Oreochromis niloticus: one gene and its partner. The protein of the gene in region 2 interacts with the protein of the main gene of each other region in a pairwise test. Links are inferred from orthologs where the notes say so. Each region holds a gene or a part of one and is shown on either strand. Other genes may lie near its edges. The genes, in order: snx15 and reep6.

The links.
Region 1: the proteins of reep6 (region 2) and snx15 interact in binary tests that used the Homo sapiens proteins (3 or more experiments, as listed by UniProt). The two-hybrid records come from large-scale screens. The link is inferred for Oreochromis niloticus from reciprocal best matches to the Homo sapiens genes REEP6 and SNX15.

What each region holds. Positions count from the first base shown.
Region 1 is NC_031967.2:10,485,681-10,501,407, forward strand, and holds the start of snx15 (sorting nexin-15), read right to left. Parts: upstream 6,625-15,727; 5' UTR 6,488-6,624; coding exon 6,389-6,487; intron 5,847-6,388; coding exon 5,690-5,846; intron 5,450-5,689; exon of another isoform or gene 5,368-5,449; intron 4,913-5,367; exon of another isoform or gene 4,831-4,912; intron 4,328-4,830; exon of another isoform or gene 4,246-4,327; intron 3,696-4,245; coding exon 3,580-3,695; intron 3,414-3,579; coding exon 3,134-3,413; intron 3,036-3,133; coding exon 2,877-3,035; intron 2,207-2,876; coding exon 2,009-2,206; intron 1,256-2,008; exon of another isoform or gene 1,174-1,255; intron 147-1,173; exon of another isoform or gene 65-146; intron 1-64. Other genes in the region: slc3a2a (solute carrier family 3 member 2a), read left to right, coding at 13,735-13,931, 14,021-14,205, 15,003-15,176, 15,340-15,434, 15,635-15,727. UniProt on the Homo sapiens protein: May be involved in several stages of intracellular trafficking. Overexpression of SNX15 disrupts the normal trafficking of proteins from the plasma membrane to recycling endosomes or the TGN.
Region 2 is NC_031980.2:37,189,052-37,204,284, reverse strand, and holds the start of reep6 (receptor expression-enhancing protein 6), read right to left. Parts: upstream 8,084-15,233; 5' UTR 7,990-8,083; coding exon 7,857-7,989; intron 5,312-7,856; exon of another isoform or gene 4,976-5,311; coding exon of another isoform or gene 4,945-4,975; intron 4,173-4,944; coding exon 4,079-4,172; intron 3,525-4,078; coding exon 3,386-3,524; intron 3,169-3,385; coding exon 3,000-3,168; intron 2,912-2,999; coding exon 2,769-2,911; intron 2,211-2,768; coding exon of another isoform or gene 2,196-2,210; exon of another isoform or gene 2,188-2,195; intron 297-2,187; coding exon 276-296; 3' UTR 274-275; intron 1-273. UniProt on the Homo sapiens protein: Required for correct function and survival of retinal photoreceptors. Required for retinal development.

The DNA of each region.
Region 1 (15,727 bases), on a different chromosome or scaffold from region 2:
GCATAATACAAATCATTATCAGTGTTTTACAATATACTGAAGATTAGGAAAAGAAAAATAACCCTGGCAGCAGTGGGATTCGAACCCACGCCCCCGAAGAGACTGGAGCCTTAATCCAGCGCCTTAGACCACTCGGCCATGCTACCCTGTTAAAAAAAGACCAACCCACTGTCAGAAGGGTAATGGGTTAGCAGAGTTTAGCCTCCTGACATCTTGATGCATTCTCAATCATCCAGGTTGAATCTGTTCATCTGGACGTAGCGTTTTCAGTGGGAGAAACGTTTCGTCACTCATCCAATTGACTTCTTCAGTCTCAGCTGATGGCAGGTTTCCACAATCTTCTAAAAAGTACATTTGCATATTGACTGAAACCAGCACCACTGGAAGAACAATGGGCTGGGAGGTCAGTTCCTTGCTTGTTAATATGCAAATTCTCATGACCATTGACCAACAACCACTGATCAAAGACCACTAATCAATGGCCATGAGTACCATTCACAGAGAGTTGGGGAATGGCTGCAATCACAGCATTGTAAGATGGTGACAGATGTACCCAGATGACTCTGCGCTCAAACCAGCGTTCCTCCCTGTCCAGGATGTGTACATCCTCATCATTGAAAGAGTGTCCACTGGCCTGTAGGTGTAAATAGACTGCAGAGTCCTGGCCTGACGAGGTAGCTCTTCTGTGTTGTGCCATCCGCTTTGCCAGAGGTTGTTTGGTTTCCCCATGTATAAATCCTGGCAATCCTCCTGGCACTTAACAGCGTACACTATGTTACTCTGTTTGTGTCGGCAGACCCGATCCTTGGGGTGGACCAATTTTTGGCCCAGCGTGTTTTGGGCTTTAAAACCCACAGAGACGCGGTGTTTAGAAAAAATGCGTCTCAACTGCTCCGATACTCCTGACACATAGGGGATCCTGACCACTCCTGACCACTCGACCACACTACCACAAACTTCCCTTTAAGAAATTTCTCAGCACTCAGATCATCAGCCATGATAAAAAAAAAAAAAATAGTACAGCAGCTTTTAATTTAACAAAGGCTAAAATCCAAAATAGGCAGAACTCAGGTCTCACAAACTAACCACCACTTTGCAAAAAGGAGCAACTCTAAACACGGTTCTTCTTATGAAGCTACTGAACTGCATTTTCCACACCTGAAAAGGTTTAAGTGGCAGTGGTGGGATTTGAACCCACGCCTCCGAAGAGACTGGAGCCTTAATCCAGCGCCTTAGACCGCTCGGCCACACTACCTGCACATCAGGCATCAGGACACACTAGTGTGGGTGGACATGCTGAAAGTTGATTCTGGTCCTTTAGACATAGGGGACTGTCCCCCTATCACATGAGCCAAGGTGTGAAAATGGGTGTAAGTCACAATCCAAGCTCCTTAGACGAAGAGTAGAACTGTTGCAACATTTCCCTTTGGCCATAAACAAACGCACAATTCCCCATAGACAACTGATGTCAGAACTTACTTGCCAGTAACACAACAACTTACAGCAAAATAACAGGTAAAGCAGGAGAGTAAAGTTGTTAACGGCGCATTTATCGGCATGGTAGCAGCACATCAGACAAAGTGCTTGAATATGGTCGGTGAGGCGTCACAGCTGTAAACCTAACCGCACAATTTATTTTTCATTTGGACATGGTGCACCGTCTGGCATTCTGCAGGTTTTGCAGTTGACAAAGTGATTTCATGGTCTATCGCCATAGCAACAAAGCTGTTTTAATAATTGATGCAGAAATAGACATGACAGAGAGCATTCGAGTAAAATGCTCCATGTGAAAAAAATAAAAGGTTTTTGTTGAACTCAGAATGTTCACAGCAGATTAGTAATTCTAATTTTCCACCACTGCGACAACCACCTAGTATTTCACCCGTCTCCTCAGCTCCTTCATCAGTATTTTTAGCTCTTACAGGAGTATCTCTTCAACTATATTCTTCCCACCTCTCTTTCTCTTTCTCCACCCACCCACTGATTCTTTTGTACACCAAGGGCTCACCTTGTACTCCAGTGATCAGAATATCCACTGCCATCCTGTACCCACAAATGGCAGAACTAATTTCTCCCTCCTTCTCCCTCTCCATGGCAGCTGTCAGCTCCTTGGCAGCTTGGTTTAAGTAACCCCCGTCCTCTCCGTCCACACTGTTTGATGGTAGTGAGAGCAACTCCGAGTGGTCGGTGGAAGAATTGGATCTATCTGTAAATCAAAGAAAAAGAGATATTGTAGTAGTAGTGATATTGTCTTTAGTTAACTATGTCTTATGTTTTATTTGTTAGGTTTTAAAAAGTCACTATCTAAAATAAATCACTGGATGTGATGTTTTTAACCGGAAACAGCAGTTAAGGTCTGCTGATATGTTTCATTTTTGGGACTGTTAATTAAACAAAACAGCCAATGTGAATGTACTGCCTAGGCCTGTGTTTAAACTGTAATGACACTCTGAACTACTTCCTGACCACTTAGAGACCAAATGTAAATAAACATTTGGAAGATGCCTCTGGATCCTTCACCTAGAAGATTAACTCAAGAACTGCAACATTTAATGGTCTTCAAAAAATGCTTTTTTTTTATTGTACTTCTATTTATTTTTATTATTGTTATTATTACTTATTATAACCAAAAAAGCCAGGTGAAGGAAGACTGTTATTATATTTGACAGCACTGGCTCACCTCCTAATAGCAGCTCCAACATAAATGTATAGACATTTACACTAGTATATGTTATCAGGAAGCCTCAAAAAACACTGATCACAGACATCTTCTTATCCACTGACACAGTAAGTAAAAGCGTTAATGGATAAGACACATATTCGGGAAGACTAAAATCAGCTTTATATGATTACATTCACATTTATTTTGGCATCACCTTGTTTATAGCAGGGATCGAAAACAGCCAAGTCATTATCAGACAGTGGAGGAGGAACTTCTTCCTTTGGGGATGGGAGTCCTTCAGCCACAGAGTCAAACAGTGAGTCGAATTCTTCCTGGGTCTCTTTTGATTCGGGGTCCGTGAATGGAGATGGGACTGGAGGGAAAACACGGACCACAAAAGTGAGAACAACAATAAGAATAAAAGAATTAAATAAGGACATAACAGACCATCACACATTGTGAGATTTCTACCTCGGTCATCCAGCTCTGTGTCGCTAAGCTCCTCTTGCTCTTCTTCTGTTGGAGATCCTCCGATCTCACTGTAGGCTTCAGCTGCCACTTCTGGTTCTCCCACTTCTAAGCTCAGGTTATTGCCCAGATCCTGGGGCAAGGTGGGAGCCTCCCTGCCCTCCTCTTCCTCAGCAGGCTCACAGTCTGATGCCCTACGCTTGGGGAGGGGGATGAGAGGAGGAGGCAGAGACCCCGCAGAAGAGAGAGGTGTGGCATCCAGAGGCCTTGTTACCTCACCACCCTGAGTAAGGGAAGGGATAGTGTGGCAGCGTTAGAGAAAATGGGGTCTGGTAATAAAATGAACGTTGACCTGGCATACGTTTTTTTTTTTCTGTCGTTTAATGTTTGCTAAGATTTGAGTAATGGTTGATTTTGATTGTAAGAGTGCCTCTCTGAGTGTGTCTTACTCTGAAGAACTCCTTCAGCTGTGGGCTGTTATACAGAGCAGGAATGCTGGTAGTAAACTGAAGCATGGCCTCTGCTGCTTTTCTCCTTTCCTCTATCACAGCCCCATCAAACCTTCCTAAAATTACAAGAGACAAAAGGGAAGTGTTACAGTTTCTTTTTCACTTCTGAAGCTGCCGTTAGCATTAAGTAATCGCCATTTGTCGAGGTTAAAACTGCTGCCACTGCCAAACAGTCTGACTTCATATTAAGCAGGGCATGAAAAGTTGAATGAACTCATGAATCATTACTGTTTATAGGTACGGCTCAACTGATTTGCTGTGGTTGCAGTTTGATTTTAGTAACCACTGAAAAATGAAGCCACTTCAGCTCTTTGTGTACTATAACTCTGCTCTTCTCTTCAGCTGGCTGACGGACCAACATGAGCATGAGGAACAGCGGACCGCAGACCGAGTTACCTGACACTGTCTCCATCGACAACAAAACTCTCTGCAGGGAGTCGCACCATTCCCGGAATATGCTCCTCCATTTGCTGAACCATATTTACACTTGAGTTTTTATACACAATACAAAGTTTCGCAAGAAGATCAACCCTAAACATGATGCTTCTAATTAAAACATAAAGAGGTGTGTCTTAAACTTCCCACTGCCAAATGAAAAGTTTTACTTGGCAGTGGTGGGATTCGAACCCACGCCCCCGAAGAGACTGGAGCCTTAATCCAGCGCCTTAGACCGCTCGGCCACACTACCTGCTGAAAGACTATGACTCACTGTCCTAACTCATTTTACCTTTCTCAGAATACATTTGAAGAGAGGGCTGTACTCCACAGTTCTGACATGCTATCTGTGAAATTAACTTTGATTGGTCGATGTTGCTGTACACATCATAACAAAAGGTCCACAGAGATTTCAGGCTTTCATCATTGCCACACTACCACAAAACTGCCCACCTCCCATTCAGACTTTTCTCATCAGCATGATCTGATAAAAAATACAGCACAGGCGCTTTTCATTTTCAACACTCATGCAAATAGACTGCAGGAGGAAGGCAAAGGATCTCTAGAGAACACATACACACACTCCCCTCGAATGCATCTGATTATAGCAAATTTAGAAAAAAAAGCTCATTTTTGGACAAGTCTGGTCAAATATTTTGAACAGTTCTCAGGTAATTATTCTGTCAGGAAGGGTCACATTAAAACAAATGGAGCTACCTGCTGCAAATAACAAGATTTTAAAAGACTACTACATGCTGGCAGTGATGGGATTCGAACCCACGCCCCCGGAGAGACTGGAGCCTTAATCCAGCGCCTTAGACCGCTCGGCCACACTACCCGCTCGAAGGCTATGACTCACTGTAAAAAGATCAAAGGTAAAGGTCGATTGCTTGATCGTCAATGTTGCTGTACACGACAGTGAACTGCCCACCTCCCATTCAGACTTTTCTCATCACGAAGTTCATCAGCGTGACCTGATAAAAAAATACAGCACAGCTGCTTTTCATTTTCAACACTCATGCAAATAGACTGCAGGAGGAAGGCAGAGGATCTACAGAGAACACATAAACACGCTCCCCTCGAATTATTATTATTATAGCAAATGCACATTTTTGGACAAGTCTGATCCAATACTTTTGAACACACGATTTCTCTGATAATTAGTCTCATGAGTTACTTCAAAATATTTAAATAGAGACACAAAACCCTCTGGGGTTCTGTCAGGAAGGGTCAGATTAAAACAAATGGAGCTACCTGCTGTAAATAATGAAATTTTAAAAGAGCACTGTATGCTGGCAGTGGTGGGATTTGAACCCACGCCTCCGAAGAGACTGGAGCCTTAATCCAGCGGCTTAGACCGCTCGGCCACACTACCACAAGACAACTCTCAGTTCATAAGCAAAAACATACAACACAGCTCACGACAGGCAAAACTCACAAACCAAAGCTCTGCAAAAAGACCGACGCTAAACATGTCACTTCTTATAAAGACAAGTAAATCTGAGAGGAAATGTCACAAGAATTGTGATGAAAGTCTGAAAACAGGAATGAAAGCAATAATTGCATAAAAGGCTCCACAGGAATGTAAAGCATAACACAATCTTTACTCATGTACCAAAAAGTTGTGCTCGGGGAAAAGGTGGAAACTCCTCCTGTCTTCTGAACAGGTTCCTGTGCGTGTAGGCCAACTCCCCATGGAGCTTCTTCAGCTCTGAGAACCTCCTCCACACAACCACCTCCTTCACATCTTCTGGGTGACGCTTGGACACAAACTGCAGATGACAGAATAAAGTAAATGTCGCTTAACTGGCTGCATGTTTAACAATGAGACACAGCAGATTTGCTTTGTGGTAACACTGCAGAGGCCACGATTTAAATTATAAATTTAAGAGAGACCAATGAGTGCTTGAACAAAGCTTATGAAGACATGATCCTCTTTGACTTTATAGGCATGCCTCTGTAGTCATGAGGGTGCTCATGAACTGGATCACAAGTTCTCTCTGTTTCATTTGACTGCTCATTGTGCACCACTGCCTCAAATAAAAGGCCCGTTGTATAGTTATTTGTTTATTTATATGAGCTAGCTGCGGGTCGTCTGTCACTCTGTTAGAAATGCACACTATTTATAATAATACCAAGTCACTTACTTTTAAGCTAACACCTTTGTGCTACGCATTTAAATTTAAAATATGTTTTGGCAAGTAATAAGCAAAACAGCTAACCACGTAGTTATTAAGCATGATTACACCCGGCTCTACGATAGGTTTCAATTAATGACGCTGTAGCTAAGGAGAGATAAACAGTGTAAACTCACCCTCGCCGTTACTTTGTATTCGGTGTGGCCCTTCTCGTGTGTGCGTGGGTCGGTAACGGAGAAGAACCGATAATAGTCTTCTTTGAGTTTCCGTGACATGTTTGCTCTCGTTAATAAAAGAAAAACGGCGTTGTTGTTTTAGCGGCAAGAAACGCGAACAGTCAAAGGCTCTGTTGTGATTCTTTCGCCCCTCCTCTCCGTGGATGTATTCATTTCCTGGTTGGTGACGTGTACGAATGCGTGATTACGTAGGAGAGACGAGACGTCAAACTATTCAGTTTAATGTTAAAAAAATTATTTCCTCCACTAGGTATATGAAAATAAAATTTTACATTAAATTTTTTTTTTTTTTAAATGAGTCCATAGTTTTTACATGCGTTTTTCTTTCTTTCTTTTTTATATAAATTAAATCTAAGAAGCTACTATGGATGGACCCAATCCCAACTGTCTTAGGACAAGAGGCACTGTGGACTGTGGTAGGAAGCCGGAGCATCCAGGGAGACCCCACGCAAATACGAGGAAAACATCTAAAGGTTAAAACTGGAATAGTAAGATGAAATTATATATTAAAACTATATATAGATGTAAAAATTTATATAACAATAATTATATGAATATATGAAGATAACAGTCAGGACTGGGTCAACTGTATCCATATCCACTGTAACCATAATGTTACTCACTTTACCTTTCTCTGATTTTAATATTGTTGTTGATCGGTCACGGTTTATTAGTCACATTGTCACAAACAGTCATAAAAATTCCCTCTAACTTGTATTAAACATGTAATTATGAGGGAAATACTCCAGGGGGTGCTCTAATGTTTCGTAGTTTTCAACACAGCATAGACACTCAATTTAAACATTTTAAATTAAGATACTCATTTTTATTTTTATGACTTGTTGTGTTTTTCCTCATATAAACCCCCAAAAACTGTGTTTGTGCTGCTAAAAGGAAACAGATTCTGCATCAAAGATGGCGCTAAAACAAAAAAGGCACATAAAAGTGTTGTACATACCCTTTTTGAGACAATAGAACAAAGTGAACAACAACAGACGTTACTGAGGAAGCTCCAGCTGTGCATATTGTCTAACATCCCCTAACACTGTATTCCCAAGCTTTTATCTGTTTCCCATAGGCTATAAATGTAATGATCAGAGGCATGTTCAGTTGATATATCTGATTCACCTATTTACAGCAACACAAAGGCTTTGAAATTGTCAAAATATCCTGAAGATCCTTATATTCAATGGTCCAAAGCCTTCCTCTCAAAGCTTTGAACAGGATTCTGAGTTTAGGCTGAAGCTCAAAGGTCAGTTGTCATCTTTATTGGTCTCTCTGGCAAATTACCAGCTAAATTATAAGAAAATGTTTAGCATACCAAAATGACGTAAATGTTTAATTGGGAGTTACTTGCCAGACTCGTTTGGAATTGACAATGACAGACTAAGAAACTAAGCTCAGCAAACAGCCTGTAGTCATGCTGCAATGTCCTATTCAGGTCCATATGGAGTACCTGTATGTGTTTAACCTGTGTTTGGGTGGAAGGAGTCAAAATAGCAGAGGATGGTTTCGATCCATCGACCTCTGGGTTATGGGCCCAGCACGCTTCCGCTGCGCCACTCTGCTCACACAGGAGGAGCTGTCGCAAAGCCCTTCACATGGCTCAGCTGTTTTGCATTCTTATCACAAAAAGGGGGCCTTCTTATATAATTTGCAACCACTGTTTCCTGCTGACAGGAGGAGGTGGGTAGTTATATAGAGAGGGGCTCAACAGAGGGGAGAGGGTTTAGAGAACCGGGCAGAAAAATGCTGTAATGGTAGAGAAGGTGATGGGAATACAGGGGAGACAGGAAAAGTCAAACTAAAACAGGCATTCTTTTAAATATGTCAAGTATATTTTTCAAACAGCTTAAAAGCAGAAGTCGTGTGTACGTACAGTATTGTGTGCTCTGTAATTTCTGCAGTGTGTGAGGTGTATTATTGTAGATCGTTTATATATATATATATATATTTTTCTTAATGGTGCATTTTTAAGGAGAACTGACTAATTAGCTCCATTCATGCAAAATTAAAGAGAGGGAGGCTTTCCAAACCGAACAGGCTCCTCTTTGTCTGTGAGAGGAAACTAGGTCATTCGTTCTCATTGTCACAGGAAGAAGCAGGAGGCGCTGCTTTATGGGCAGAAAAACAATCAGAAGAAGAGAGCGTACAAGCAGAAAAGTTACGAAATGTACAGTCGGCAAGACACGGCACACGTGTGGGATCAGATCCCCGCTGTGGGACAATATATTAGTTACATAACTGAGAGCGCTAACGTTAAACAATATGGCTCAAAGTCCACGTGCGTATATTATGATTAATTGCATGTTTCGCTCTGTAAGTAATTCTCTTTATCACCAGTGCAGCACAGTCATTGGTGGATTCTTCCTTTCCCCTCTATCCATGACACAAAATGTAGCCACGCATGTTCTGTTGGCTGTAGATCCAAAAGACAAACATGCTCATGTTTGTTGAAGAGGTGAACAAATCAATCTGTGAATACACCTTTGCACTTTTTAGATGAGATTAAAGCAGCATTTCCCCGAACTTCATTCGTTCGGTGTGAACTCTGAATGCGAGAGCTCATTGCAGGGAACTTGCAACAATGAGATGAAAGCGTAAGCTCTCGGCCAGACTGGTCTGAACTGGTCTGAACTGCTGATTATTTTCCTTTTTTTTCTCTCCTCCCAAGCACATGCTGTCTTACAAAATAAACTCTCTCACAGGGATCAGACCATTCTTGGTGTAGCCATATGTGTGCGCGCGTGTGTGTGCGTGAATGACTGCATTCAGTGAGATGATCACTCGAGCCCTGACTGACTGACACTAATCTAAACTTTAAAAATCTAAGCAAAAAGCTTTCACACAGTACTTCTAATCAGCTCCTAATTTGCCCTACTTTGATCTTGTTACACAATCAGTTACTATGGTAATGTGAACTGTGACCTTGAACCACAGGTGGAGCGTAATGCACAGTAATCCCTGTGTGTTCTTCCCCCGTCCACTGAGAAAACAGAAAAAACCAAACTATTCAGCAACTTTGGCCTTCTTTCCTCTCTGTTATTATGCTGTGGGGGTCTGTGTGCTGGCTTATAGACTCCAGCAGAACGTCCCCTCCTCCTCTGCCAAAGGCATAAACAAAGAAGACAAGTCTAGGAGTGAATTAGTCCCTCCGTGTCCTCGGAGAACTTGTTGTGATGGTGGCTGATGGGTTTTTTTTTACTTCTTTTTTTATTGCCAAGTTGGGATTGATTCGGTTTTCCGAGGATTCAAATGCTGCTTGGATTTTGACCAATTTATCCTGTAAACTCTGTTTAAGCAGAACTGAAAACCTCACAGGGCTGAGACAACATGTGCGAAAAGGACACTAACGGTCTTTCCGTCGCTCTAGGCTTTGCTTCCATTAATACCCCGAGCTGTGCTCCGCTCCAAATTTTTGTTCCAACATATTCCTCACCCTCAGCTCAAAAACATGTTTACACATCCCTGCCCTCTCTCTGCCTGTCTGCTCTTTCCCCTCATTCCTAGTTCTCCTCCCTCCTCCAGTCGCCTGTTTCCTGATCTACTCACTCCTCCTCCCAGTTCTGCTGTTTTTACAGAAAAACAGAGCATATTCCGTTACTTCTTGTTATATCCTCAATGCTTCCCAGCTGGAAAGCACAGTTTGTCCACATCAGCCAATGCTCAGCAGCTCTGTTACAACCTGACTCTGCTACTTACGCACACATGATCAACAGGCTGAGATAAAAACAGAAACAGATGGCGTGTGTTTGACTTTGGTGAAATAGGAGAAGCGAGCACGAGTGCGCGTGTTTGGAGAGGCTATAACAACGTTATCGTCGTCATGTAGATATGCAGCTGCCAAACACTGGTTATAAAGTTAGATTTGATTCTTGGGCATATTTAAATAGTCAGCAGAAGACATTTAGAAAGGTTTTAAAATTAGTGACATCAGGTAGCAAAAGCCTGGCACAATGACTAAGCTGAACAACAGCAGAGTATAAATAGATTTAATGTCACACATCTTAAATTAGACACCCCTCCCTACCACTACCTAAGATTTGACCGAGATATATCCACATAGAGAAGAACATGTACCAGTGGTGAAGTCTGAAAATGAAATAAACAGGCACTACACTGTTTCTGGAAGACAAAAATTAGTCCCTGAAGACAAATATGGCATATAAGAAGATCATGGTCTAATCTATAAGACAAAAATCTTCTGTGGGACTTTGATTAAGTATATCTTTCTTTTCGTTTTCACTCATATTCAATCAGTTTTTTAATGCCGATCATAAAGGCTTTCCACTTCCCAACAGATAGCCGCCACTCTAGTTTATCTTTTGCCTGATTGTATATATACTCCGAAGTGGCCTCTTGAACAGGACACAGAGTTCACTGAACTCAAATGATCTCCACAGTCACCAGATCTAAATCCAACAGAGCTCCTTTTGGATGTGGTGGAAAGAGAAACGTATCATGCACGTGCAGCTGACAAATCTGCAGCAACTGAGTGATGCTATCATGTCAATATGGAGCAAAATCTCTGAGGAAAGTTTCTGGCGCCTTGCTGAATCTCTATTACAAAAAATTAATGCAGCTCTGAAAAGGGGGTCCCAACCCAAAACTAGCCAGGTGTACATAAATGCTTCCTAGTAAAGGTTGCAGTACTGTTACAGGACTCTGAAAGCCCAAGCTGTTAGAGTCAGTGGACTATATTGGATGTATCACTACAAAATAAACTGATTAAGTGGTCAGATAAAAAAAAAAAAGTTTGAAATTAAGTGCCATAACATGTCACATCTGTGAACACAACAAGCACAGAACAAGCGTACACATGCAGGGGTTAAGTTACAGCAGAGTGGTGGAGCGTGTTTCTGCAGTTACCTGTCACTGCAGAAAGTTGTTTTCTTGCCCTGCTTAGCAGAGACAGAGAGAAACAGCACCAGGGTCGTGTAAAGGGCAAAAACACTGTGCAGACATGGAGGAGTAGAGAGCAACAAACAGCCTGAGAAGACACAGATAACACATCTATATCACAGACAGCCAGCAAGGTTCTTTGTTATGGTTGCACTGTAAGAGCAGAGGGAGAATTGCAAACTGTAAAATCAAAGTTTGCACCATTGCACTACATGAAACACACACGAGTATGATTCATTTATGCAAACATTTACGGCAACTATAAATCCAAGCATTCTGCCTTCATTCTGTCTAACTTCTATGTCATGATAAATCACATCAGTGTACGGCAAACTGGACAATTAGGGTGAAAAACATGCCCCCCACACACATACTTATTTAATGTGCGCTCTTCCTAGAAGTCTACTGTTACTTCTAGGAAGTAAATTCTGTAGCTTTGTTTGTAACTTCTCTTACTGTAACTTGATGAAGGTCAACAACAGCTGGAGAAAGATTTAGAGCCCAAACTTGGACAGCAGGATGTTGGTTTTTAGATTGGCTGCGCCCAAATATTGTCTCCAACAGAGATATACATTGTTAGTGTTGGCATGAAATAATCTGTCATCGGCATGAGTGTGATCAGCTTTAACCCAGAATCGACACAGAAAATAAAGTCACAGCAGCATGAACCTGACATTTTCAAACAGGGCCCAACAACATATTTTATACCTTTACAAGGAAAAGATGCTCAGTTTTAATCTGTTGATCAGCTCCCAGGAGAAGCATTGCAAGTACAATTCAACTCAAATTTTGTTGTTTCGGTACTATAGACTCAGCGTGATCACAGGAGACTAAATGGTCAGCTGTTTATGCTTAAACACTGCAAACAAGGTAAAAAAACAAACCAAGAAGGCGACAGAAAGGTCCTCAGGCGTGAAATTAGATCAGTGAAACACAGAGTGGCAATCTCAACTGATCAGAAGAAGACAGCTAGATAATCACATTACCAATCATCTTGCCTGTGAAGCAAACTGCATTATCTTCAGTTTGCATAATAACTGATATGTGAACTTGTAAACAGCATTTTGTAGAGCGTTTCATTTACACCATTAAGAAGGAACAGAACAAAGTTTTCTTAGTTTGGAGCATGGCGTTCAGTTTGTTTATTAGTTTGTTTCTTAGGATTTTTCTTGGAAGAAAGAGAGACAGCAAGCGAAGGAGGGGAGGGAGGGAGGAGAGAGATAGAGAGAGGGAGGGATTATCGGCTCCCCCAGTAGGCGGAGAAACCAGGGCGGGTACAAATATGCGCTCTGATCCTCTCTACACGCTTAGTAGAGAACAAGGAATAACCGGCTGTAAACTAAGAGCCAAACCGGGACTATACATTGTATTTTACAGGTAATTTGATTTACTTCATCAACTTTTCTGCCACTCTGTAAATTCAGACCTGCCGTGTTATCGCCGGGAGTAGTCTTCAGCTCACAGCCGGATAAACTGCCTCGTGTACAAGCACGTGACGTTAGGGACGGGTTTGATTTCATCATCTTATAGGAAGATGGAATTATACAATATCACACAGTTTTTGGAGTTGTTATTGCTACCGGGTCGATTTTAACTTTATTGGGTTCGGTGAAGGTTTCACAGACATTTACGATGTACTTGTTTGAAGAGCTTTTATTTAATGACTGTTGAAGCGAACTAGAACAAACCGGTCAACTACTAAACTTCCGGTTTACACCACTTTAATCTTAAAGCCATGTGTGTATTATATTAGTTATATTAAACTGTCAGAGAGCTACTTGTTTTGTTTTTTGTTCTTGTTGTTGTTACTAACAAATGTTCACTGTCGTTTAGTCGTGACATTTGTTTAAATCGTTTTCTTAAGTCTGTTTGCTATTGCTATGCACTTATTTTGAAGGGTAGCTGCAATATTTCCGTAACTCGAGGCTGACCACGTGAAGTAAGAAGTTGTAATTGTTTCATCAGACACCGGTGGAACATATGAGCATCTCAAGAATGGGTTTTCCGTTTATTTGAAATATATATATATATATATATATATATATATATATATATATATTAGGGAACAGCACCGCCACTCCTGTTTAATTCCTACATTAAAAACTGGGCTAGCTTAATGAATCTAGTCGTTGCCTGTATGTCCTGTGTAGGGGGGGATGTGTTACATAAGGGTAGACAAAAGGCGAGGGGATGAGACTTGGCCGGTACTGCCTTAAAAAAAACAAACAAAAAAAACCAAATCCCTCTACTCCTTTTGGTGGTCTTGTGTTTTTTTTTTTTTGGGGGGGGGGGGTTAGCTCTTGGGTGTTAGCCAATGAAAGTGCTTTTGCAGATAAAAGTTATTAATTCATAATTTTCCTTTGTGCTCCACCTCCAGTTAAACCATGAATAAAGACACAGAGATCGACATGAAAGAAGTGGAGCTCAATGAGCTCGACCCAGAGAAGCAGCCCATGACGGGGGACGGTCAGGCTCCAGGCGGGGAGAAAAATGGCAGCGTCAAGCTGAAAGTTCCCGATGATGAGGTTACCTTCACCGGGCTGTCCAAAGAGGAGCTGATGAAGGTTGCTGGCACTCCAGGGTAAGAGCTGCAGCTAAGAGCTGTCTTCCTCTGTGGGCGTTAAAATCAGTGGACACTTTTACATTATTATTTTCGTTTTTCTTCCACAGATGGGTGAGGACCCGCTGGGTTCTTCTTGTCCTCTTTTGGTTGGGCTGGATTGGTATGCTTGCTGGAGCCATTGTAATCATAGTCCAGGCTCCTCGCTGCAAGTCTATCCCTGAGATGAACTGGTGGAATGAAGGGCCTCTCTACCAGATCACTGACCTTGAAGCGTTCTCTGAAGGATTGAAAGGTAGACTTTTTTTTTTTTTTTTTTTTTTTGGGAGAGCTTATGAAGAAACTTACTTTTGTTCTTGCATTTAAATTTTTTTTTTTTTTTTTTTTTTATTGCGCTGCCATGTTTATTCCCAAGATAAGAGTTGGAGCTTGCACTATAAAGTGCCCCAGTCTGAAATTGGGTAACATGCTCTGACTTACATGGATAAAGTCTTGTGACAGTCTCTTGGCTTTCATTAGTTCTCTGTGGCCTGTGTCAGCTGGCTAGATATCAAATTGCTGACTATGCTGCCACAGTGTGACTAAAGGTCTTAAGACCATTTTAAAAAAATGAAGACGTCATCTGTTTCGTATCTCTATTCAGATACAGCCAAGTTGAGCAACTCTGGAATATATCAAGATGTCGTGATCTGTACATATCAAAAAAATGTTTACTACAGGCTTTTTTAAAGACAGGAAGGAAGAACAGTGCTTACTACTGTTCATAAAGTGAACTGGTGGGGAGCACTTGGTTTTAACAGGCTTTGGGTGGAATTCCAAAAACTCCACGTGACTCAGTTTTGTTCTCTTTATCAAAGCCACCCTTGTGCTCAGGCTTCACATGGCCAGCAGAGGGAGAGGCTGGGATCCTTCACATGGTCTTGCCAGCACTGCGGCGCTACAGTCTTAACTATCAACATGTCTGTCTGTCCTCTGTCCCTAACCTGCTCACACCCTTCTGCTTCTCACACCCTTGTTTTTCTGCCTTATGTGAAATTCACACTGACCCAGCATTTCATTTACTACCTTTTTTTTTTTTTTTTTTTCTTTTAGGTGTTGAAGGAAAGTTGGATGACATTAATCAGCTAAAGGTGAAAAGCCTGGTTATCGGACCTCTTCATATTGTCTACGCCAACGAGAAGATGACTCTGGACCTTCAAAAAATTAGTCCAGTGTTTGGAAATGCTGAAGATCTCGATAGCTTGTTGAAGGCGGCCCACAAAAAGAGTACGTAATTTTCTGATTTCAGATCAGTTACTTGCTAAATCGCTCACACTAAAAGAGTAACTGGTGCTCTGTTCTTTCATTAAGAGTGGTTTCTACTTATTGCTGGATTCTGTACTCTTGAGGACCAGATGTGAGCAAACATTTGCTTTGCTGTTTCTTTCAGGCATTTCTGTGGTGCTTGACCTGACTCCAAACTACGAAGGAAATCCTGTGTGGTTTGACGAAAAAGACCGTAAAGAAATAATGGAAAAAGTCAAGGTAAGCACACAGATTTAATATTTAATTATTTGCAGTAATAAGGCATATTAAGCAACATCACTGTCTTTACATGTGATAAACAAATGGCACATTTTTGACTTTTGGCCCCATGGACAGATGATTAAATTGGACATTATATACTGTGGTGTGGATTCGGGTCTTGCTGCCACTGTAGTTAACTTGAATCTGTTCTCTTCCAGGCTGCAGCCGAATACTGGCTGGAAAAGGGTGTTGATGGCATCAAGATATCTGACCTTGGCATTGCCTCCACCAGTCCTGATTGGGCCAAACTG
Region 2 (15,233 bases):
TCATGTTCATCTCCTTAAAGTATAGTTATAGTTAAAAAAAACTGATTGAACTGATTGAATAAGTTCAGTTACAATTACAGGCCATATTTAATCCCCCCACCTCTCCTCAAGTTAACTTTTTACTCTCCAGCTCAGTTGCAGAAACTGTTCGAACAGAACACAAATATCTGGACGTGAAGTTTGACTTTCAGAAAATATTTTAGAAAGAAAGTTATTTATCCTGAGAAAAAAAAGCCTCTGTATTATTTTGATTTGTTATTGTGAGTAACTTACCATCAGTCTACACTGAGTTCATCCTGATGAGCAGACATATAACAGACACAACCGAAGGTTAGAAACAAAAAACATTAAAATGAGAAGGGAATTATTTGGGGGGGGGGTTCTGTTCCTAAAACAACCTCATGGATTAATTTGAATACTGGAATTAATCTCTGAATGTAGAGTTGTGGTCAGAAGTTTACACTCATCATGTGCATGAATGCCATGGGCACTTGATTTGGGACGTTTTAATGTTTTGCACTAATCCACACATTGTCAGAAGAATACATAAATGAACACAACTGAAACACAAATGAACTCTACCAATTCTGCCAAGAAGAATGGTTAAATATCTGGTCAAAGCTTGCTGATGGATACCAAAAGTGTCTGGTCCAGGTTAGGAATGGGTACCGGTATCGTTCTGACATAAACGGTAGTAACCAGACCGAAAAGCAGCGCACATTTCTGCGCTTTTTCTTTCCTGAGATGTCATATACTTTGGATTCTAGCTAATCATTTTACCTTTCTAAGGATAGTAGGCGGGCCCAGGTACGTACGTTCTTTTAGAGCAGAGCTACAGATTAAAAATGCCCAAGGCGAAGCGATCAAAAGTCTCGCTACTTCACAGCAAAAGATGCAAACTCTGCAACAAGTGCTTTAAGCTGATACTGTGCAAGGAGGTAACACCTCAAATCTGATGAAACACCTGGCGACGCATAGCGTTTTTTTAAAAGCCGAGAAATGCACCGTATTTGATAGCTTGCTCCGAGGCCTGTTATCGACCCGGAGTTAGCAACATCCCCCAAGAACCCGAAGAGGACAGTCCTGGCCCCTAGCCCTGCCAGTGTAGCAGAAATGATGAGGATGATGATGGCAGGAGCAGCCGTTCTCCTCTGCGTGAGTAGCTTAGCCGTATAGCTCCAGAGAAGGCTAATATGATCTTTTTGCAAACCCCCCCCCCCAGCTAAACATGAGAGGATTTAGGACAAAGTTTGTGTTTTCCATTGTTTAAGCACCGGTTCCAACCAAAGGAGGTGTGTTGTATCAACAGAAAAGGCTAACTTGGTTATCATTTTGCAGAAAAAAAGAGACTGCTAAAAATAAAAACATGAGAGGTTTTTGGACAAAGTTTATGTTCTCCATTCTTTAAGCACCTGTTCGAGCACCATTTAAGCACCGGCACCGTTTCAAAAGTACCGGTTTGGCACCGGTATCGGATAAAACCTAAACGATACCCATCCCCAGTCCAGGTGCAACTTGATAATGGACATTTAACCAAAAATTAGTGGGGGTATATGACTGTGTGAACTAGAGAAAATCCAAAATCAGTTCAAAGTGCATCCAGTTCTTGTTTTTTTCAAGTTTTTAAACATGCAAGGTGTACAGTTATTCCAGCAATTCAAAGAAATCTTGAAAAGCCCCAAATACCATGAGATTCATGCAGATGATGCCAATGATGAGTGTGCGTAAAGTTTCTGCCACCATGGTATGTTGATACACATCCAACCCACATGTTCTGCTTTGGTGTAGGTAGTGTGAAAGCAGAGCTGTTCCAATTGGTAAGACTGTGTAATTCTGGACACACTTTCAAATAAAAAAAATAATAGTAAATTTGATTTTCTAAACATATTTATCTCATACTGGGCCTTTAGTTCACCCTCTGGTCCTGATCTTTACTCTGACCCAATGTTGAAAACTACTAAGCAGATCATTTTCTAGTGCTTCTGTTTCTTCTGGACCACTAAGAGCAGCAGGTAAAGTTGAAGAGGGAGTATTAAAAGGTCTGTTCAGGTCTTCACACCTAGGATAAAGTATCCTGTCTGTTTTAGCTTCAAACCATTAAAAGCACTGCTGGTCTACATGCTTCACACCACATTCACTGTCTGTACAACACTGTGCTACTTTTTAACACTTAACCAGCTGACTTACCAAACTGGTTAACCCAGGAAAGGCTGGAACAGGTAACAAGATTAGCAAAAGATCAGCGTTTATTGCTCATCTCCTATATGAACACATAAACACTTGATGTAGATGAAGGACAGGTCTGTTCCAGCATCAACTGTGAGTCCACTTTACCCAAACACAAGCAACAAAATCATAACTGGAGTCCACTTAACAGCCACAGGTGTCATTAATAACCGTGGATTTCTGTAAGTTATGTGGACAACTTTTAAAGATGATAAAATAAAACAAATCAGCTGACCTTTTCATCAGAGCCACTTGATCTAAACAATGCTTGATTGCTTTGAACGCCAAGTACCGATCCGCTACATAAACAGTGTTAGTGGGATTCTATATTGAAGGGACTGCTGATCAGTTTTCCCAGTTAGGTTACTGACAGTAAAGGGAGATGCTACAAGGCTTACTAAATGAGAACACATCACTCAGCAGCCTGTAGAGAGGACATAAACCAGCAGACTGCAAATTTCCAAGTTGCAGTAAGCTGCTTTCACTGATATAGTTCAAGGTGGACAGACTGAGTAAAGGGTGAAAACGTGTATTTTACATACTCTTCTTTCTTCGTTCATCTCTGATGGACCAACTTTAGCTGTGGATGTTTCTCCTGATGTACTTGGTAAACTTTTAGCTTCAGACTGAGCAACAGGTGGCGATGGTGTGATCACAGCTTTGTTCTTCACCAGAGTGGTCAGGACTAAGGAGGGAGAAGAACGAGAGAGAAAGTACATACATATTTAAATCTTCTGTAAAAGGCCCTAGCGGTGGTCCTGGGCCAGTTATACCTTCTCTGGTGAGGTTCTCGGCAGCACTCATGGCCTTCCCACTGAGGTCGCTGACCATGTTGTCCACTGTGGCCTCATGGCGAAGGAAGGCAGGCCGAACCACTTTGTTGTAGATAATCTGTGAGCCATTCCAGGACACTGGGGCCATGCACCACAGTAAGAAGAGACACTGGAACCACATAAGAAGGAGATTACTGGAATCACTAAAACCTTTTACCTGATCTCAATTCTAGTATGATGGTCATAGTCCTTCAAAAAAAAAAAGGTAGTAGTTGATATAAATGCAGTATTGCTTCTATAATTCAGCCTAAAAGAAGCATTTTGTTCTTTAGGGTGATCCATAAAAGGGTCTAGCACATATCATTGGTTCCTAAATGTTTTCTCACCTTAAAAGCGTAGTAAAATGGGAACCAGTAGAGGAAAATATCAGAGAAGAACTCGCCCAGACTGAAGACACCGTACACCACCCAGTAGGTCAACCATTTTGTGTCATCTTCTTTGCACGGGCTTTCGATGGCTTTGACTCTGCACAAAGTTGGAATATTGTAAAAGAGCTGAGAAATATGTTGATCCTTCAAATATGATAAAGACATCTGTGCCTCTGCACCAGTAACACGACTATTTGCTTTAGTCACTGAACCTTATTACAGATATAAATATCATGAACTTTAACAATAAAATCAGTCACAATTTCAATGATGTCACCTCCAAATTATCCAGACAAAGTCATCTTTATCAGTTGTGCTTCTTCAAGGGCAAAACCAGAATGCACATCAGACAACTTCCTTAAGCTTAATGACATTAATGTCTGAAAAGTTATAATAAAATTATTTTTTGAAATGTAGTAAAATGTCTTAATATAAATGCATAAAATGTCCAAATATCAGTAAATATATACTGTTGAAAAGATTGATATATGCCAAAAATGTCACAAAAAGATAATAATACTGAGAAAACTCAAGTGTATTGTAGGCACAGTTGTTATACTGTCCTATGAGACTGCCACATGGATCCACTGAGTATGACTTCCTACAACAACGAGGAAAAGAAAATAGAAAAAAAGAGAAATAAAAACTTACGAATAATAAGCTGGATAAACAAAACCAATCAGGTTGCAGAGGAGGGAGGCACCATATCCGTACACCAGGTAGAGTCCGGTCAGCGAGACGGCACCTGGATGAAGACAGATGTTTTGTTTTCTATGTACTGCTGCTATTTAGTAATATATATATGAGTCTGGAATACAAACACTGAGAAATGTGTCTTTCAAATATTTAAAGGAGTTATACTCTGCTTTCTTTTACGCTCTGAAGTAACATTTCCTGTAAATCACAATGCATAAGTGGGGTGTATGAGTGGACAAGCCTCGACTTCCACAAACTTTTTTGCAGTTAACAGTTTTACAAGTAAGTGTTCAAATCTATTTCATTAGACTGCATTGCAAAAAACAGCCAGTTTAACACAGACTCGACCAATTTGGAACAAAATTAATGCAGAAGAAAGTGTTTCCTGCGAAAGACTTCTTACTGACCAGCAATGTAGACATGGACGAAAGAACAGGGCCATAGCATTAAAAGATATGCTTGATATGCATGCTCCCCACAGAAAGGCACCAGACCGGATTCAAACTCAGGACTTCTTCTATCTAAGAGGCAGCAATGCGATCTGTGCTTCCACCTTAATGTACATTTCCATATATTTCATAACCTTCCATAACTTACAATGAAGAAAGGTAATGTCCATCATGAACAGGAAGTAAAACCTGTTTCATTATCCGTGTAAGACAGAAATAACAAGGTATATTCTCTGCACAGTGTGCCCGGGCTCACAGGCCAACAATGTGGACATTTCACCCAAATATCAAAACAAATCTGAACAACAAGCAAAATTTCACTGATTGTCTGACAGCCAGACGGACAGGAAGTACTGTAAAAAAGTGTCCTACCTCTGATCAGCTTATGTTGCTGTTCACACATGGAGGCGGCGCTGCTCTGCTGCCTGTCTCTGTGGATAATCAGCTTTAACGTCAAGGCTCAGAGCGGGAGACAGCGAGCACCAGGCACCACGCTGACATCATGTCCTGCTTAATGTGCTACAAATCCACTGCACCAGCATCAACGTGCTCTCAATACACTGCTGTTCCCTGCTCACTGGATCACTGTGTTCACACAGACCTGAGAGCCCTTTTTAAGACTACCAACAAAATACACTGTTTGATCTGTATTTATTTTTAGAAAACAACAAAACTTTCTTGTAAAAATGTCGACAATATTTATAAAACAATATAATGTGCAAGAGCTTCAGGAATTCAGCAGGAAAGGCAGAAGTAGAGTAAAGTGATGGTTCTCTTCCCATTTTCTGTTAACACTGAACACACTGCTGTGATGTTTGAATAACCTTTACTGAACTCACCGTAGACAAATCAAGTATGGAGGTTTTGCCTTTAAGATTTTATGGCAGAAACGTTTTTTATTTCGACCTGAACAATGAACTCCTGAACCCACAGAGGTTTTCTTTGTCAGAGCTGGATGGAAAAGCCATTTTTATGGTAAATGGACGAAAGCACTTTTCTACTCTATTTGCGCACTCAAAGCGCTTTACACAACTTATACATTCACCCATTCACACAAGCACTTTTTTTCATAGCTGGTTCTAAGTGCTTACTATCTGACATTTACACACATTCATACTCCAATCCATGCATCGGAGAGCAACATGGGGTTAATATCTTGCCCAAGGATATTTGGCATGCAGACTGGGATTGAACCACCTTCCAGTTACCTGCTCTACCACCTGAGCTACACTCACCCCCATTTTCAGTTAGCTAATTTGGATGATTTGCCTTTTAGAAATGAAGATGAAGTAACATGGTGTAAACTAATTAAAATTCTTGAAATCAGAAACCCAACAAGACCTTTGTTGGGGTGGCTGTGGCTCAGGCGGTAGAGCAGATCAGCTACTGATTGGAAGGTTGGTGGATGGCTTCCCCAGTCTGCATGCCAAATATCCTTGGGCAATCCATGCGTTCATTGGAGTGTGAATGTTTATTATTTGCACTTAAACCCCAAATAATTAAATATCAAGAGCAGCCTGAGAGTCTGTGTAACTCTTCCAAGGCTGAAAATTTCAACCTTCCACCAAAGGAATTGAGTCCCGGGATCAAGAAGGATATTTGATCTGAATTCATTTGTGATGCTTTCTTGAGAACATTTTCTGTTAGGTCCACACAGGACTAAAAATAATTAATAGGCCTCCCTCTAAATGGCTAACGTGTTGTGACCATGTTAGGGACCACATGGTCTAGGAAACAACTGACACTAAAGATATAAAATAAAGTCAAAAGAAAGAATCCTGTTAACAACCTTAGCTTCTGTTACCCTCTTGATATCCAAAAGATTACCAAAAATGTTTTTTATTTTTTATTTTTTGTATAGCTTTGTTTTTAAATTGGTGAAAACATTTTAAAATCTGTGACATTTCAAATGAAGTCTTGTGTATTTTGCTGTAACAGAATTTCTTTTAAAATATTCTCCATTTGTTGTTGCAAACATGTGAAACTTTGATTTAAAGGGGACTGGATGAGTTGCCAGTGTGGGTAGGATAATTCTTTTGATTGTTTCTAAGCAGTTATAATTCTCTTATTTCACCTGTCATTGTTTAAGGTTGCCCTTTATGCTTATGAAATTATGCGTCATTATAAACAATGACTGGTGTCCTATCAGAGTTTGTTTTGGGTTTTTTTGTCTGAACTTAGCCAAAATGTGACAGAGAAATTAATTAAAGGTGGAAAAAATACAGCTTTAGTTCCACACAAGATACTAGCCCCAGTTTCAGTTTTTCCAATTTCATTGTACTATTGTACCATATATGACTGTGCAATAACAATAAAGAGTTATCTTTAAGAGACAGAGAGTTATTCAAGGTTACAGCTGCAGAAAGCTTTTGGGACTACCGCAGGTTTCTTTGAACCACATTAGTGTTTGTGGATATTTACCCATTCAGAGTGAAGGATTCCTGGTATGAAGCCTACACAGATGTGCTTGTGTGTCCTTCACAAAACCAACAGTGTATACATCGCCAATTAAGCCATTTTTTTAGGTATAAAGCTGACTATTTGAAAACTGGATCAGAACAGGAAAGAAGTGATAGCGGGTTACAACAGTGAGGAAGAAATGTGATAAAGATTATGCTTAACCTTTAAAAAGCATGAGAAGTTCAGACAGTGGCTATAGGACAGCTTCTTTGTTTTTGACACTCGGTTTCACTTCATTTTATGACTGGTCTTCTGTGCGGCAGGCAAAAAGTTACACATAAGCTGAGCGTAGGACCAGCATCAAACTGGGGTAAAACCAGTCCTTTAAAGCTGCTAACATAGTTGATCCAAGAACTAAAACATAAGAAGATATAAAGAGACTTCTGCCCATCGCTGCTTAGTCAGAGAAAGTACTAAACATTAGTCTTTCAGCTCAGGGTGATACATGTCCTATCAAAGAACTGGACACAATGAAGCAGGCACTGCCACAAAACCAGGAGCTTAATGATCCTAAAACCCCGAAGGGCCGCAGAGCCAGTTTATCTGAGTTCAATATGACAAAATATTTATTAGTGCAGAGGATTAACTGCAGAATAAATGAAGCAGAAAACCTCCTGAACATTACCAGCTTCCTGTTGTGGACGGCAGCTGATCACAGGAGGATTAACTGAATCCTCTTCAGGTTTCCACTGGCCTGCAACAAGCTTTATACAAATCAACTACATCTAGAACGAGAGCAGAATGATCCAGAAGTAGCCATGTGCTACTACACAAAGCAGGCAAGTTGGGAAAAAAATAATTCTAGAAGATTAAATCACACGTACCAAGAGCAATGACCTTCTTCTTGATCCCAGTTTTCTCCTCCATTTTTCCCAGAATATCTGTCACCACATTTTTCTCATTTAGAAACTTTTCAGCTCGGTCTTTGATAGAGGTGATAATATTCAGCAGGCCCATTTTCCTCAATCTGGTCCTCAGACCACAGAGAAGTCGGAGGACAACAGCCTGCAGTGAGTCCGGTGCCGAGTTTAATCCTCTAACAACCACAATCTGCTATAATGAGGAGGAGGAGGAGGAGCACGCAAGGAGGTATTGAGAAGTTCTTTTTATAAATATTTTCATTTATTAAAGACAGAGTAAAAAGTGAAGAAGCTATATACATGATATATATCAGCTAGGCTTTACACAGCTTTATAGCTCAGCCACTGATCAGTCAATTATTATCAATGACTGTGCAACACTTTTGTGCAGGTTAGAGCAATTTAAAATACTTTAGAGAGGAGTGACAAAAGTCTATTGTAAAAAGAATAAAGTCCAAAGCACACAGGTTACAACAGCTATTTAAGTGTAATAAAAAGTGTAATAAACATGATAGGTTTTCTGTATATATGATCCATGACAAAGGTTTGAAGGGAATTTAATACTCTTACCTGATGTTTTTCAAGAAAACTCACATTTCCTGATAAAAAGGTGGCATTATTCCTTTATGCAAGTCAGTTTTCCATATATCAAAGATAAAAACAAATTAAATAGTTACCTGATTTAACATGGACTCTTCTCCCTTTGAGGGTCATTTTGTTCTTGCATATTTGGAGTACCTTCATTTCTATTCCTTTAAAAAATGCAGTTCTAAAAAAGTTTGAAAGTGACTGTCATGTGAAAATGGCCAGCTTTATATCAATAATAATAATAATAATAAAGAAGAATGAAATGAAGAAAAAGGATGCCTCACCGGTTGGAGGCATCACTTCCTGAAAAATGAGTGAGACTACTGGATAAAATTCTTCACTTTCTCTCTTTTTGGGGGATTTTTTTTTTTTTTTGTCAAGTCATCTATATTTGATAACAGCATAATAAAAGGGGAAATTCTATTTTTTGTGTGTCACCCCAATGTTTTTAGTGGTCCCCATATAGCCACTCTTTTAAAAAAAATTCTGGCGGCGCCCCTGTCGGGTACAAATTTTAGTGTCCATAAAGATGCGCAGGAACGACGGAAGTTTAAGCTTCCTTCAGAATGGCCCAGGACAAAGAGTACATACATGCTACAAGTTGTGTTTTGTGTTAAAACCCTCACTGTATTGTTTTTATTATTGTTTAATTATTATTTTTTTCTTTTCTATTATTTCACAGTTGTGTGTTCTGTCAGACTTTGTATGTTCAATTTAAAATAAATAATTAATTTTAAAAAATAAATAATACAGTGGCCGTGAGTTAGGTCGCTAAAAATATTACGACCCCTCAACTGCATCCTCGCATGATGACATCATTCTGCGACAAGCTTATGAGCGAACTGAGTGAGTGTTCCTCAAAGACGCGAAGCAAACGTAAATTCTCTTTTTTAGGACTGATTCGCATCTGAAACTCGGAGACGACAGGTAGGAGAAACGCTTAGCTGTACTGTCAGCCTCGCTTTGGCAGCGTGGAAGGTCAATTTATAAAGTAGCGCCTATGTACTCAAAGGAATATGATCACCTAGCCACCCGTTAGCATCGTGCCGCTGTGGTTTGGCGAACACGTCACGCCAAGCTCCTTTCAAATCTCTTGCAGTACATCGTGGTCTTTCTTCTAGAATCTAGAGCGAACCTCAAGTGTAATAGAGGGAAACTTAAAGACATATAGTTAACTGTCGAAATCATCTGTCAAATCCGGCCTATGTTGCATACAGAAAGTAACACGGGTTGACTAAATACAAGCATTTTAGCATCAGCTTCGTCCTTTTGTTGACACATTCTTTCCATTTCGAGTCATGCTCAGTCGGAAGATAAATCAGCTGCTTGTTAACTTCAAAGAGATACATTCGTGTCCGATGAGTTAGCTGTAGTCTTAAGTTGTCAGGGTTTCACCAATACAGCATAACCGCCTAATTCAGTACTGATTATAGTAATAGCGTTAGACTGCGAGATTTGCCAAAGCAGTTCCAGGAAACCCATTTTTAAACGTAACGTATATCCTGAAGAGCCAAATAAATTCTAGATGTGTGCTGATTTTTTAGTTGTCCTAACTGGTATGCTAGCACGCTAAGCTAGAAATTAGCCAGAGATCTTGAGTCAGTGTGTGTGAGGTGACTCCTCAAAAACTTCACTGATTTGAGCAGTTTAAAACACGACAGACAGATCTCCTTTATCAGCTCGCATCAGCTGCTCTTCTGTTTGTGTAATGGTTTTATGTTCAAAGGTGGTTAACGTTAGCTCTGCTCACACAGTGCTCGAGTTGCTAGAACATTCTCCATGCTAATACCAAAGGGGGGGTGGCTAAACATACATCGTCGTGATGGTGTGGTGGAAAGAAGGTACATCCATGTCTCTGAGCATTAATCACTGTTGATACTAGTTGTTAATGCATTATTAATAGCATCATCTGACAGAATAACCACACAAAACTTTACACCCCCCCCCCAAACAGCAATATAGCAGAGGCTGAAACAAAGAAGTTTGTGCAATGACAATAAAGGCATTCCTTCGTGCTGCAGAGATCAAATTCAAAATAAGCAGGTATGTTCAAAAAACATCAAAGTTGGTACTCAATCCTGGTTGATACCAAGGAAAGTAATAAATATAACAAAATGTATGCATGCATGCATATAAATACATGCTGCATGTCTACATATAGAGTGATGTGATTAAAAAAAAATCAGACACATCTGAGAGCTGATGAGGTTAATTACTGACATAATGAGGTGTAAAAAGGGCATTACTGATGCTGAGTATTTCAGAATTAAAGATGGGGTCTGCAGTTTGTGAGACAGAAAGAGTTAGAGAGCTAGCAGAAATTTCATGAGGGGAAAAGGCTGAAACAAAAACTTTTCCTGTGACCCTTAGGCCTGCAGGCAGCACAGTTTTGAAAACAGACTGTTTTTCATAGTGTAAATGCACGGCCTCGGCAACATTTCTGGTTTGGTCAGTACCGCGTAAGGTGTTTAACATAAATTCCTATAGTGAACTAAAGTTAGCCACACTTGTAAGGTTGAAAACTCTGGCTTTAGGCTCAGAATACATTACTGATATGCCGTGTTTACCCTCTGATCTCCTCCTAGTGTCGTTAAAACAAGAGGTTATGTAGTACGAATTCAGACTTTACTGAAATATGTTGCTCACATCAAATTCAAAGTTGGCACATATTCTTTTAATGAACAAATGCACTGCACTATTTTCATATAATACTTAAGCGGCATTTAAGTGATTTGGATTTCATTGCATGCATTATGTACATTTACAGGGTTCCGGTTCTTATTGGAAATAAGGTTTTAGTTGCAGGGTGTCTCTCCCTCAGTGAAGACAGAGACGCAGCACCTCTGCCACCATGACAGACAACAAACGCCTCGCTTTCTCCATCATCCAGTTCCTCCATGATCAGCTCCAGTCAGGCACTCTGTCTTCAGATGCTCAGGAGAGTCTCGAAGGTGAGTCCTCAGACATGAAGAAGAACAACATGAAGCTGCTCAGTTTGTTTCTCTCCTGACTCAGAATGCACACTTAAACTTTCTCATGGGGAATAAGTTTGTGTTGTAGTGTCTTATAACCATGGACCAGGGAGATCATAATGTATGGAATTATTATTATTGTTATTGTATTTGTTTTTATTACAAAAGCTCAAAATTCCAGTGACTCCATTTGACTTTGATCATGGTCAAAATCATCACTGACTATTATGCCAGCAGATTTTCTGACGGAGTCAGCTACAGCACTAAAATAAGTTCAGTTTAATATTTCTTTCCACAACATATATAAGTATACAGCGTACATAGTCTGGCTTCATATGTCCGAGTCTGGGTTGCAGGAGCAGCAGAGGAAACAGAAGTACAAATATTTCAAGATTAAGTAGAGTAACTAATTTTTAAGTATCTGTACTTTACTTGAGTATTGTTTTTTTATGACAACTTTTTACTTTGACTCTCTACATTTTTACACAAATCTGTATTTTTTACTGCTTAAATTTTCAAAATGGGTTTGTTACTTTGGGTTTAAGACATTAGTCTGTGTCTTCAAACATCAGACTGATTTGAGCCAAGTAGCCCAGTTGGGACCAGTAGCACATAAAAGACAGTACTATTGGTGTATCCATCACCAGGTTGTATCACGTACAAAGAAATGAAAGAGGCATTGTTTATAGAGCTAAGTGGACCAGAACAATCCAGTGGTGTTCTTGGTGCAGATATCCCTAAGTTGTACAGAAGAGGAGCGAGCATACAGGGAATAACATGTTAAGTAGCAGGTATTTTCAAGTGCAGCGTTTCTGTAATTGCTCAACAATCATCAGCAAACACACAAACTGTTCTTGTGCAGTTTGTCATGGAGTGTGTTTGCTAACTAAAGGTCCAGCTGCTGTATTTCCCAGGGAGAGAAAAGAATGAGAGATAACTTGAGTCAGAGATGGAGAAAGATGTAGGAGAAACAGGACAGGAGAGGACGAAGAGGGGTTATATTTAAAGGTAAGGACTGTCCAGTGACAAACTGATAATTAATTGACAAGCTGGATATAAAGGCTACATGTAATGTCCTGATTTTTTAATCACATACATACTATATATTGTGTGAAGCTATGTGTAACATTCCTGCAAAATAGACATGATGCACGAATGCATCATGTCTATGAATGCAGGTTGCATAAAATCCTGCCATTTAATGCAGGATAAACAAGTTAGTTTGCTGTACTGTAAAGCACTGTGTTGGGCTGGTGCACAACAGTTATTTTGTTTATGATCAGTATTAAGTTACATATAGGATGGCTTACAGGTTTACCCATCAGCCAAATTTCACTTTACCTCCTAACTATACTATTATTGTGTCATTACGAGGATTAGCACAGGTTTACTTAGCTTTGTGCAAAAACAGCTGGTAGAAATGAGTACATTTCAGAGCCTGTACTCTTTCACTTTTACTTGAGTGAAATTTAATCAGTACTTCACTTTTGTTTCACTTTTTTAACACAAGTCTCTGTACTTCTGTTAAAAAAATATCTGTACTTCTCCCCAACCCAGAGTGCACATTAGATCAGTGTTTGAATAGAAATCTTGACCTTGAACTTGGATTTGTTATTCACATCCCAGCTGCTACCCACTTGGCTACAAACTATTCGCGCCTCATTACTATAGCAGCCAGAGCCTTTAGATCAGGGGTCTCCAACTCCAGGCCTCGAGGGTCGGTGTCCTGCAGATTTTAGATATTGCCCTGTATCAGCACACCTGAATCACATGATTAGTTCATTACCAGGCCTCTGGAGAACTTCGGCCGTTTCTCAATTCTCAAGTACGGGAGTACGTACTCACCGAGAACGCGAGCACGGACTCGCGATATGTACAGTTGGAACACCTGCGTACGTGATGATGTCACAGGTCTGGAGTTTTTACTGCCGTCCCCTCCTAATTTAACTGTGAGTAACATGTTATGAAGCTTAACTTTAATCACAGCCAAACCGGTTTACTCAGGAACAAATAAAACACTGAAATACACCAAACATTAACATTTAGAAGTGATCTAAGTGACTTATATATCATTTTAACCTCAGTAGTGAAACCTCTATTGATAAAAATAGTGTACATGTACATACGTGTACATACCTTAATAAAAACAAGCAGGTGAGATGTTAGAACGCTTTTATTTCTATTCTAGTGGACACTCAATACTATAGACAGCTGCTGGGGTTTCTTTAACCTGAGTAGTGAGAAGTCCGCGAGCGGGGGGGCGGGCGTTGAAAACGATGTGCCGGGAGTCCGCTGTTGAGTTTTGGACGAAATGCATTCTGGGATATTTAGCTGTACCAAGTCCACACCGATGCATGCTCGATAAAACGGGCGGATCGAGAACACATCGCGTTTTCGGTTGATGCATACTTCGAATTGGAACAGTACTTGGTCTCCGACTGATGACGTATCACGAGTACACGAGAACGCAAGTACGCACAAGTACGCATATTGAGAAACGCCCTTTAAGACATGTTGAGGAGGTCATTTAAATCAGCTGTGTTGGATCAAGGACACATCTAAAACCTGCAGGACAGGGGCCCTCGAGGCCTGGAGTTGGACACCCCTGCTTTAGATACTGGGCTTAACTCCTGTGAAACCAGTGCTGCTTCGTCATCTTCTTTCCCCTCTTTTCACTCCCAGCGCCCTTATATTGCATGTCATTACCTTTTGTAAACTCTCTAAATTTGTCCTTCTTTGTGTTGTCATCTGTGTTCCTCTTTTATCTTACAATATACGGTGTCTTGAGATATCTGTCGTGTGTGTGCTGTATAAATAAAACTGAATTGTAATAAATTAACAAGGAGCAAAGAGATGATCCCAGAGACCACTAAACCTGACACCCTTCACCTGCTGAATGCTGTTGCCCTGTGTTGTCCACAAAGATTATTAATAGAATCTGTGACATAGGGCAGACTGGCAGTTTGCATTGCCATCACTAATTCAAAACTTGTGCCTGGTAGGCATTGGTTCACTGCAGTAGTATAGAGACCAAATAGCTCGCATAGTACATGTAACACATGCTGAAACACTACATGGATGCTGTTGAATACTTTCTCTAGATTAACAAAACAAATGGTGTCTAGATGAGTAAACCCACCACTTCAAAGTGTCCTTGAGAGGATAAAGAGTTGGTCCAATATGCCTCAATCAGTAGGAAAACCTCATTGTTTCTTCTGAATTTGAGGTTCACCTATGCCACAGAATGTTTACCACCATATCCGGCTGTTCCAGAGTCGCTATCCTCAAGTGTGCCTCTGAAACAGTTGGATTCTCATTTTATCGACGTGTCAACCAGGAAACCCCCACAACACCCGAAGAACTCAAGACAAACCTCATCTGCATATAAGTCCAGTCACCAAATAGTTTTTTAACTAACTCGGTGACCTCAGTTAATCCACTTTTCCCCCCAGAGGATTGAAAAGGACCACAGCCTCTGCCAGATGCTCCAAGAGAATACCTCACTATGGGCCAATTTCCAAATAGCGCTCATAGGTGTGGTTATTTTTACAGGTGATTTACAAGAGTTGTGCTTTTTTTTAACACTGTCAGTCAGTTCATTATCAAGTGCAAAAAATAAGACATGCAAATTTTAGTAAATCAGTTTGTGTGCTTGACTTAAATACTCTCCTCCCTGAACTTCCAGAAATAGATGCAACAGGGTCAGTCACAACAAATCTCAGTTCCCAGCCCTTATACCCAATCTTGTCATTGTGCTCTCCTAGTAAATATCGACAATACT